Canis lupus familiaris: one gene and its partners. The protein of the gene in region 3 purifies or fractionates together with the protein of the main gene of each other region. This does not show direct contact. Links are inferred from orthologs where the notes say so. Each region holds a gene or a part of one and is shown on either strand. Other genes may lie near its edges.

The links.
Region 1: the proteins of CAV1 (region 3) and CTNNB1 purify together in Homo sapiens (affinity purification with western blotting; 3 studies listed by BioGRID and IntAct, with this or other methods). This does not show direct contact. The link is inferred for Canis lupus familiaris from reciprocal best matches to the Homo sapiens genes CAV1 and CTNNB1.
Region 2: the proteins of CAV1 (region 3) and KCNA5 purify together in Homo sapiens (affinity purification with western blotting, with the first as the bait; 3 studies listed by BioGRID). This does not show direct contact. The link is inferred for Canis lupus familiaris from reciprocal best matches to the Homo sapiens genes CAV1 and KCNA5.

The regions. Positions count from the first base shown.
Region 1 is NC_049244.1:10,793,316-10,796,962, reverse strand, and holds part of CTNNB1 (catenin beta-1), read right to left. Parts: intron 3,626-3,647; coding exon 3,481-3,625; intron 661-3,480; coding exon 557-660; intron 479-556; coding exon 140-478; intron 1-139. UniProt on the Homo sapiens protein: Key downstream component of the canonical Wnt signaling pathway.
Region 2 is NC_049248.1:6,280,301-6,283,782, reverse strand, and holds KCNA5 (potassium voltage-gated channel subfamily A member 5), read right to left. Parts: upstream 2,323-3,482; coding exon 520-2,322; downstream 1-519. UniProt on the Homo sapiens protein: Voltage-gated potassium channel that mediates transmembrane potassium transport in excitable membranes. Forms tetrameric potassium-selective channels through which potassium ions pass in accordance with their electrochemical gradient.
Region 3 is NC_049235.1:55,589,314-55,593,060, reverse strand, and holds the start of CAV1 (caveolin-1), read right to left. Parts: upstream 2,534-3,747; coding exon 2,504-2,533; intron 1,247-2,503; coding exon 1,082-1,246; intron 1-1,081. UniProt on the Homo sapiens protein: May act as a scaffolding protein within caveolar membranes. Forms a stable heterooligomeric complex with CAV2 that targets to lipid rafts and drives caveolae formation. Mediates the recruitment of CAVIN proteins (CAVIN1/2/3/4) to the caveolae.

The DNA of each region.
Region 1 (3,647 bases), on a different chromosome or scaffold from region 3:
AGAACCCCACCCCAGCCATACTTCCTATTTACTAAGGAATAGGATTCGTACTTGCTAATCCCTTATGCCTAGACAGCCATCCAATAGCTAGAGGTGGATCATTTTCAATTCTGCAACCTATTTTTGATTGACAGTTTACCTTTATTAGAGGCCAATGGGATGGTGGGTGCAGGAGTTTAACCACAACTGGCAGTCCATAGTGAAGGCGAACAGCATTCTGGGCCATCTCTGCTTCCTGGTGTCGGCTGGTCAGATGACGAAGAGCACAGATGGCAGGCTCAGTAATGTCCTCCCTGTCACCAGCACGAAGGACAGTACGCACAAGAGCCTCTATACCACCCACTTGGCAGACCATCATCTTGTTCTTATAATTATTGCAAGTGAGATTAGAAAGAATTCCAGCTGCACACGTGACCACATTTATATCATCTGAGCCCAGAAGCTGAACAAGAGTCCCAAGAAGACCTTCCATCCCTTCCTATGGACATAAAAACAAATGCTCAGTACATATTCATCTTAATTCTATCACCAAGGCACTGGCATACTCAAAATTTACCTGTTTAGTTGCAGCATCTGATAGATTCCTTAGAGTCCAAAGACAATTCTGAACAAGACGTTGACTTGGATCTGTCAGGTGAAGCCCTAAAGCCTGCATTCCACCTAAGATATGAAAAAAGATCTAAGGTGATGGCCGTTAGCTGGCAAGTCCTATCAGCACTGTCTTCTCTAGTCTTAGAGAATGTCCCTTGTTACTGCCAAAGTTTACCCCCTCCATCTAAGTCCTTTATTTCATTTGTTAGGCTGTTGCTCAGTTTCCCTTTCTTTTCTAATTCACCTCAACTAGTGACAACTTATCGAGTACTGTTCCTCCCTATGTGGAAAAAGCCTCTGTTATCTCCACTGTCCTCCTTAGGTAATATTCGTATTATTTCCTTTCATCCATTCAATCATCCCAAAAATACTGACCAATACCAGGCCCTGTTTTGAGTTGGAGCTGTACCAATGGGCAAAATATTCTAAGGTCCCTACTCTCGTGGAGCTCACAGTCTAGCTGGAGGCAGACAATAAACAAATACAGTTAATAAACTGAAACTCCATAGTATGCCAGATGATGTTAAGTGCTATGGAAAAAAAAACAACACAAGAGGGTGGGGGCTACAATTTCAAGTAGTGTAATGAGGGCACCTCAGTGACATCTGAGCAAAGCAGCAAAGACCTGAGGAAACTATGTAAGACCAACTCAACAAGGCATGGGAACACTTATTACCAAGGATTACATGAAAGATGCTGACTCTAAAACACATGTCAGGAAGGTTTAGGACCCTAAGAAAAGACCTTTATATTGATTGAGAAGTCTAAATGGAAGCTTAATTCCCCACATAATGGGTTAACTTCACCCATCTCTCTCCTACGAAATCACTTCTGAATGTAGTGAGATACTTTCCTTGTCTCCCTGTTCATCTTTTCAGGTCTGTTTTATTTTTTATCTTATTATTATTTTAATCTTAAGTAGGCTCCACAGACAACGTGGGGCTTGAACTCATGAACCTGGAGATGAAGAGTCACATGCTCTACCAACTGAGCCAGTCAAGTACCCCTTTTCAGTCTGTTTTAAAATTAAGTCACCTCTTCTACAAGACAAGGATCATCCCTATCTGGTTCCTTCCTCATAGCACCTCCAGCTACTAACACAGGGACCTGCATAAGGCTAATGCTCAACATTCGTTAAATGACTAGATTCCCCTCAACCTTCTTTCCCCTCACAGATTTCATTCCCTCCCTTTACTATTCACTCTAACAGGGTGGATGATCTCAACCCCAAACTGCTTATCAGAATAGCCCATAGACTTTGAAAACACACAGTGATTCAGCAGGCCTAAGGTTAAGATAAGAGTCCTGTGCAGATGCCTCTGGGGCACACACCCCCTTTCCACCTACACTGACAGGTCAACTCCCAAATTTCTAGCCTAGTCTTCCCCTGCATTTTATAGTCACTCTGAATATTTTCACATCTTAAATTACCTTGTTCCAAATATTAACCAACCTATCCTGGTAGTTCCATTTAGTAACTTCTCATCTTCTATAAAACAAAGGCCACATTCTTTAGCGTAACATTAAGGAACCCTTTAGAATTTGGATCCCACCTGACACTACAAACTGAACTAAATATTCTACATCTGTGGTTCTAAAGCTGAAATACGGCAGGAATGAACATCTTACAGGCCTAGAAAGTCCTGCAAATATGGTCCTTGCCTAGCCCATCAACCTCATTCTGGGCTACTCACTCATTACTCATTAAATTCTAGTTACACACTCTTCCTCTTTAGCACTTAGAGATCAACAGGCTCTTTCTTACCTTTAGGACACAGCACATGTTTTTCTCTGCCTGGAAGGCATCTAATCCCCACTTCTCATATAACTAACAAGTGTTTTCTCATCCAGCAATCCCACTGTACATCCCTTTCTCAGGGAAGCTCCCTCCTTCCTCCCTCCCTGTTAATTCTGTATCCATATTTGCTGTTCCTTTCTCCCCTACAGAATTCATTCTTGGTTGTAATGCCCCCATCTTTTACATATTTTTGTCACTCTCACAGAATGGAAGAATAAATGCAGGGGCCCTATCTGCTTGGTTAGCCAATGCAGACCACGTGCTTATTCCAGTGCTTGAAACACAGGTGCTGAATATCTTCAGAACACACAAATGAACAGCAGAATAACCTAGCTAACTTCTTAAAATGGAGACACCTAGGTCCCCAGTCCCATACACATTTCCAGCTATCTACTGACGTTATCACTTCACTCCAAGGATTCCAATTAAATCCAAAACTCTGCATTTTTCTGCAAGCACTCCTCGTATTTCTGGAATAGCTGGCAGAATTTCATCCCCTTATTGAATATGAATGCAGCCACACCTGTCTGTCTCAGTGCCAGCTGCTATCCTGGGTAATCATAATGCCCCTCTCTCCCACAAATTCTCAAATTACTCTAGACAAGTGAGAAAAATAGGTGTTACCAACCCTACACTTTATTCCCAGTATTTTCTTCTAATAAATGCTTTCATATTTCTCCTCTTCCAATTTTGATATGAAACTTGGTTTCAGAGTCCAGGTAAATACTATTAAGTGGGTTAAGAAAGAACTGATGCTAGGTAGCTAAAGAGTAACTATCTTTATGATAAAAAAACAAAAGGCCCTGGTTGGTCCACCTATTCCTTTCCTCTGCTACTAACACGCACATAACATAGAGTGCCAAGTAATCAGCCATCATTTTTGATGGCTAACAAGAACTCTATCTAAATGAGGCTTAAACAGCACCAATGCAAGGTGTCAAGTAGCACATATATTTTGAATGTGATCTTGGCTGCAAACTGGTTCTATTCAGTTTCAGCCCATTAAGGTCAAGTTGTATTACCCTTTTCCTAAGACAAGTAATCTAATTAGAACTATAATATGCTATACACATGACACTCAGAATACTTACCTGCTTCTACAATAGCTGGTTTATTACTAGAGCAGACAGACAGCACCTTCAATACTCTGCTTGTGGTCCACAGGAGTTTCTCGTAAGTGTAGGTCCTCATTATATTTACTAAAGCTTGAGGTCCACCACTAGCCAGAATGATCAGCTAAAAAGATGTGTATATAATA
Region 2 (3,482 bases), on a different chromosome or scaffold from region 3:
GAAAAACATCACAATAACTCCCTCTTCCATAAATACAGCATTTCTGGAAAATGTATCCAAAATATCTCCATCTGAACTACAGTACAAAAATCCACTCACCAGCCATAAAAATAATATTTTCCCCTATACACAAATAAAATCATATGTAAAGCAAATTTGGAACACATGGAGGGGGTTACAAAATCCCTTGGGATCTTGGCTATTTAAAGTCATTTTTTGTTTGGGTTATCCCTCTGCTGGGTATAGGGAACTGGCTACAAATACATCCATTTCGTAGTGCTCACCATTTCAACAGCTCCTGCGTCATGGAATGTGGTACTTTTTAAAAATAGGCGACCCTTGGTGTCATGGAAAGAAGAGGAAAAATGGGGGATCAAGGGAGGGAGGGAAGGAGAGAAGTCTAAAGAGGGACAGACTTCAAGGTGGGCTTGAAATACTCCGTGGTATAAAGTCAGTACCCCGGCTCAGGAGGTCTCTGCTATCCCCACCCCACTACCACCACTCTGCCGGGGCTCCCCCTTACAAATCCGTTTCCCGACTCGTGTCCAGGCAGAGGGCATAGAGGGATCGCCGCAAGTCCACATTGCTTTTGGCCTTGAGGTTACACTTCTCCAGGGGGCAGCTGCCCCTTCGGGCTCCGTCTGCATTCTCCAGGGACACTCCAGCCTTGCACAGGGACCCCTTGCTCCAGCTGGTCTTCCGAGGGCCTCCGCTGTCCAGCCCTGTCCCCTGGCTCTGGCTGCCCTGCTCTTCCTTCAGAGCGGCCTGCTCCTCGTGGTCCGTCTCCCGGTGGTAGAAGTAGTTGAAGTTGGAGACAATGACGGGCACAGGCAGGGCGATGGTGAGGACCCCGGCGATGGCACACAGCGAGCCCACGATCTTGCCCCCCACAGTGACAGGCCTCATGTCCCCATAGCCTACCGTGGTCATTGTGACGACTGCCCACCAGAAGGCGTCCGGGATGCTGGAAAAGTGGGTCTCCTGGTTGTCAGCCTCTGCGAAGTAGACGGCACTGGAGAAGAGGATGACCCCGATGAAGAGGAAGAAGATGAGCAGGCCCAGCTCCCTCATGGAGGCCTGCAAGGTCTTGCCCAGGATCTGCAGCCCCTTGGAGTGGCGGGAGAGCTTGAAGATGCGGAACACCCGGACCAGGCGGATCACTCTGAGGATGGCCAGGGACATGGCCTGCTGCCCATTCTGGCCACCCCCTCCCCCGCCTGGCTGTTGCTCGGCCAGCTCGGTGCCCAGGGTGATGAAGTAGGGGAAGATGGCCACCACGTCAATGATGTTCATGATGTTCCGAGAGAACTCCGCCTTGCTGGGGCAGGCGAAGAAGCGCACGAGCAGCTCGAAGGTGAACCAGATGACGCACGTGGTCTCTACGATGAAGAAGGGGTCAGCCAGGGTCCGCGGCAGGAGAGGCGCCACCGTGGGGCCCGAGGCGGGCGCCAGGGCCGCGCTGCCGTTGGTCCCCCGGGCGGGCCCAGGGGGGTGGGGGGGCCCCGGGGGATGGCGCAGCAGCTCGCGCTCGTCCCGGAACTCGGGCAAGGTCTCCAAGCAGAAGGTGATGATGGAGATGAGAATGACCAAGACCGAGACGATCGCGATGGCCCTGGCGGACCCGGAGCTTTCCGGGTACTCGAAGATAAGCCACACCTGTCGCTGGAACTCGTTGCGGGGCAGCGGCTTCTCCTCCTCCTTGATGAAGCCCTCGTCCTCGCGGAAGCGCTCCAGGGCCTCGTCCCCCAGCTGGTAGAAGCGGATCTCATCGGCGAACACGTCCAGCGAGACGTTGACCGGCCTCCGCAGGCGGCCCCCGGACTGGTAGTAGTAGAGGATGCCGTCGAAGCTGGGCCGGTTGCGGTCGAAGAAGTACTCGTTCCGCAGGGGGTCGAAGTAGCGCAGGCGCTTGGCCGGGTCCCCCAGGAGGGTGTCGGGGAACTGCGCCAGGGTGCCCAGCTGCGTCTCGAAGCGCAGCCCGGAGATGTTGATGAGGACGCGCTGGTGGTGAAAGGACCCCGAGCCCGGGCCCGGCACCTGGTCCTCCGCCAGGCCCAGGGCGGGGTCGCCGTCTCCCTCCTCGTCCTCCGGGGGCAGCCGTCGAGGCAGAGGCAGCGCTGGCAGAGGCCGCGCTCCGGGGTCCGCTCCCCTCGGCGGGCCGCGCTCCCTGGGCTCCCGCTCCTTGGGGCCGGCGCCGCGCGCAGCCGTCGGGGGGCACTGGAGCTCCCCCCCTACGGCCTGGCCACAGCCTGCCCGGGCCTCACCTCCTCCCCTGACGGTCATGGCCCCGCCGTTCTCCAGGGGCACCAGGGCGAGCTCCATGGCCGGGGGGCAGGGGGCATGCTGCGCCCCCACTGACCGGCGTCCGAGCCCCCGCTCGCGCCCGGCTGGGCGCCTTGCGTGGCTCAGGCTCTTCTCCAGCCGTCGGCCGGCCTCCCTGCGGGGCGGGCTGGGGCTGCTGGCGCGATCCCCGGGCTCGGCCCTGACGTCAGGAAGCTGCTGCCCTGCTCGCTGCCTCGCTCTCCGCTCTCCGTTCCGGCAGCCCGTTACCAGGCAGCCAAAAGCCTCCTTCCAGCAGATGCAACCTTCAGCCGCCCCTCTCTGGCTGCGGGGCGGCGCTCGGCCTCGGCCTCCACCCAGCGCGGCTCTCCCGCCTCTTCCCTACCCCGCCCCGTCCCCTCCCCTCCTCCTTCCCCCGCGTCCCCTCCTGGGTCTCCAGCAGCGGGTGTCTCCCCGGAGGGAGGGCACGGCTGGGGCCTGGGGCGACTGGGGGGGGGGGGTGTGGCGGAGAAGGGAGCAGCCTGGAGGTGGGGGGAGGGAGGGGGGGGAATGAGAGGCTGAAGGAACAGGTTGTACCGACAGCGCCAAAACTCCCAGGGCAACCAGATGAGAATAGCTGTGGATTTCAGTTCACCTGGGAACCCGCTGAACGCCAAGTGGACTCCAGGGGAAATGAACTGCCTTGGGTTGGACGGATGAGACATGAAATAACAGCCCTTTTACAATCCTCCTTTGGAGGAGTAACTAACCATTCCATCTTCTTGGGGAAGAATTATGGACAAGAAGAGGCTGGGCAGAGCTATGGGCCCTGGGGATCTATAGATCTAGAGATACCTAGGGCTGGAGATACCTCCAGACCAAGGTGTAGAAGCCTCTCTCTTCCCACCCAAAGGTAACCGGCTGACAGCTGGCAGTGACCCCCTGCCATAGCCCTGGGACAGCCCTGATTCGCAGTCCAGAGAGTCATGGCCCGTGGGACAAATTCACTGCCTGGTCTCCTATTCCTGAGGACATATAACTCCTCACTCTGCATAAATCCGGTTTGCAAAATCCAGTAAGAGAGAAAGAGAGGAAGAGAGCTGTTCTCCGGTGAAGTTTGGAGCTGGCAACTGCAGCTTTGTGTGTGTGTGGGGGGGGGGGGGGGCGGGGGGGTATGTAGGGGGCAGGAGTGGGGCCCTGGAGGCTGTGGAATCCCAAGGTTG
Region 3 (3,747 bases):
GTGCATAGTCTCTGAACTATGGCTCTTCCCAGCCCCAGATAGGAGACTGGGTAGGTGGAAATTGCTCATCTGCCCCATTGGCTGTTCTGGAGTTGTGCAGAACTGGGTCTTCACGCTATAATCTTCCAGGCCAGGATTTTCCTTGGCCCTCCCCACTCCTCAAAGAAAACCCTCTGCCAAGAATGGCTCAAGCCCATGATTTCCCAATCCAGATGGATTCGGACAATAAATTTCCCTGACTTAATTTGCTAAGAGGGTCAAAGTTGAATAATATAATGATAATCAAAAATTGATCACTGACTCAAATCTAAGTTTGGCCAATAGCTCATTCAGATGCCTTATTATTTTTTTTTAAAAAAATCACCAAACACATTCTGAAAATATAAAAAGGAACTCCAGCCTGAGTGTCTCATTAACTCGGGGAAGCCTGACCCAGGCAGTCACTAAAGAAGTGACTTTATATACCTAGCTAGGGGTGTCTATGGGAGAAATCCAGAGGCGCTCATTATTTTTGGTTGTGGAAATTAGCTTGGTCGTGCACGAGTACCACTTTTTCCCCCTCCAGTTAAGATGCTCTCTCTCCATATATGTGATATATAATATATCAATCTGAAGCATTTTTACCCACCTTATTATAGTTAAGAAAATAACTTGAGGTTACCCTGATTTGAGCTGGGACAACCTGCCCACTCGGTATCCCATAGATCATCGAGCCACAAAGAACTTACACAGTGACCTTACTTGCTTTAATTCTAGGTGCAATAGGGCGCCCCCCTTCGCTAGAGTTTAAGCCTGGGAACAGGCAAGAGGGTGCCCCGCAGGGCCAAGCGCCTCACTCGCCCAAGGAGCGCGGGCCAACCTGTCGCGGAGATCTGGAGGTGTGTTGGCCGGGGAGAAGTGGGGTTCTAGGAGGAGGGCAGTCAGCGAGATTCCAGCCGAACTAGCCGGCGGGGTGATGGGGGAGGGCAAGGTGGGGGGACTGCGGGGCCCCGCGTCCTCAAGCGCAGGAGGCAGCGCGCGCGGGCCCAGGTAGCGGAGGATGCTCGGAGCGCCCCGGGGCGGGCGGGGCCGCCTCCCCTACCTTGACCACGTCGTCGTTGAGATGCTTGGGGTCGCGGTTGACCAGGTCGATTTCCTTGGTGTGCGCGTCGTACACCTGCTTCTCGCTCATCTCCTCCGCCATGGCCTTGTTGTTGGGCTTGTAGATGTTGCCCTGCTCCCGGATGGGAACGGTGTAGAGGTGCCCCTGCGCGGGGTGGGGGGGGGACGGCGGGGTGCGGGAGGGGGGGGCGGAGATGGGAAGAAAATGTCAAAAAAGGCAATGCCAGAAAAAGGAAATGTCAAAAAGGAAATGTCAAAAAGGAAAACGAGCGGTGCGGCGGCCCTGGAGGTCGCCCGCCAACTGGCCGCTCGGGCGCCGCCGGCGCTTAAGAGGATGGAGGCGAGGACACCACACCCCTCGGTGCCCGCGGGGAGCCCCGGCCTCCGCCGCCCGCCGCCAGGGGTCAGCGCGCACCCGCGCCGCCCCCGCCCGCGCCCGCCCCGCGCGCCCCCCAGCGACCGCGGGGACCCGTCCCCGGCTGCGGGGCGCCCCTCCCCCACCCTGCTCTCCAGAAGCTCTCCGGCGTCTCCCTCGGGCCCGCTGGAGCCCCCGGGACCCCCCGGAGGGGCCCCCTTTCTGCCCCTTTCTGCCGCACCTCCCCGACACCTGCTGGCTCGCCGCACTCTCCGCGCCCCCCGCCCCCGCGGGGCTCAGCGTCCCGAAAGCGCCCGTGTCGGGAGCAGCGCCCCCCGCCCCCCTGCAGACCGCCCCGAACCGCGACCTCGCACCTGCCCGGCGCCCCCGACCTCCCCGACCTCCCGCAGGTCCCTCCTAGGCCGCCGGCGGGGCGCGGGGCGGAGGGCGAGTTTGGGGAGCGAGATCCCCGCGCGGACGAGGGGTGGCACTGGGAGGGGAGGGCGGGCAGGGACAGGAGGGGAGGGGAGGGGAGGGCAGGTCCCCCCTCTGCAAACACCCCGCCGGGCGCCGCGATGCTGGAAGGGTTCTTGAGGCGGCCCGAGGGCTTCGGGCGGTGCCAGCCGGTCCAGGCGCCTGGCGGAGCGGCGGGGACGGTCCCCCGGATCGCGGGGGGATGGCGGCGCACCCCGCGTCCCCGATCGCAGCCCCCCAGCGCGCAGGGGCTGGGCCGTGCGGGTCCCGACCTAAAGCAGCGCCCCGGGCCCGCCCACGACCCAGGAGCGTGCTCTGGTCCCCATCTCGGGACCCCGGGGCGCCCCCCGCCCCCACTTTCAGCCTCCCTCTGGTTTAGGGCCCGCCGGCCCCCCTTTCCGAAGAGCAGCCTGGACGACATTCCTGCCCCCTCTTCAGCTCCCCGCCCAGGCCCATTCCTCGGAGGTGCCCGCGCCGGGGGAGCGCCCGGCGGCCGACCGCGGGGGGTGGGGTGGGGGTGGGGTGGGGGTGGGGGCGCCCCGGGGGCTCCCCGCGCGCACCCCGCGAGCCTACCTCGGAGTCTACGTATTTGCCCCCAGACATGCTGGCCGGTGGCTGGGTGAAGGCTCCGAGGTTTCCCTGGGCTGTTATTCAAGGGAACCGAGGAAGGAAGATCTTGTATTGTGCAGGGGGGGGGGGGGGGGGGGCGGGGAGGCGCAGGCGGGGGGCGGCGGCTGGGAGGGAGCCTGCTGGCCGCGGGCCCGGGGCTTGCCGCGAGCGCCCGGCCGGGACCTGCGCGCCGGGTCCGGGCACATCCCCGGGGTTCGGCGGCGCGGGGCGGGGAGCGCGCGGGGAGCGCCCCGCGGGGGTGGCCTAGACCTGGGGCGCACGTCCCCGGGGGGCTCGCGGCGGCGTCCTGCGGGGGCGCGGGGTTGGCGCGGGGCGTCGCGCTCCTCCCCGCGCTCCTCCCCGCGCATCTGCCCGCGGAGAAGCCGCCTCCCCGCCCCCATCCCCGCCCGCCCAGCTCTCCCCCACTGTCACCGGGAGGAAAGGGACGAAAAAGGGCGCAGGACTTTTGGGCACGATGCGCCCCCGACGGCGAGCAAGCACACGTGCGCGCGCGGTGCAGGTGGCGACGCGCCGGCTCACACCTGGCGGCCCCGGACAGGACACACAGACACGCGGAACTCCAGTTTCCCCGCCGCTTCTGAAAGCCCCCCCTGCCCTGCCCCCCAACCCTCTGAAGCAAACGAGAATGGCAGGCTTCGCCCATCTTTCTGGAACTTTCTGGAAACTTATGCCCACACGTTGTGCCACATTTCCAAAAGACGTAAAAATATTTACAGTTGTAGGAATATTTAGTGGGAGCTTCAAGTTTGTCATAGAGGACTTTTTCTTTGCACTTTTTCTAATTTTTTTTTCTATTTTTTTTTTTTTTCTAATGCACTTGCCCGTGCGTTAGAGGAGACCCGGTTCTTCTAGGAACCGATCTGAAGTTTAACAAATCGTTAGCAGTTATTTGCAAATGTTTTCTCTATTCCTGAATGTGCGGCTGCTATCTTTTTATAAAGCGTACGCCTAAGGTGAATGGAACAATAAGCAGTAGTTTTACATCTGGGCTATGGAGAAGTCAAGAAGTTCACTGTCTTTTGGCCTGTGGCTCCATATGCAATCAGAAGGAGAACTAGAGGGGCGGCCCGGGTGGCTCAGCGGTTTAGCGCCGCCTTCAGCCCAGGGCCTGACCCTGGAGACCCAGGATCAAGCCCTGCATCAGGCTCCCTGCATGGAGCCTGCTTCTCCCTCTGCCTGTGCCTCTG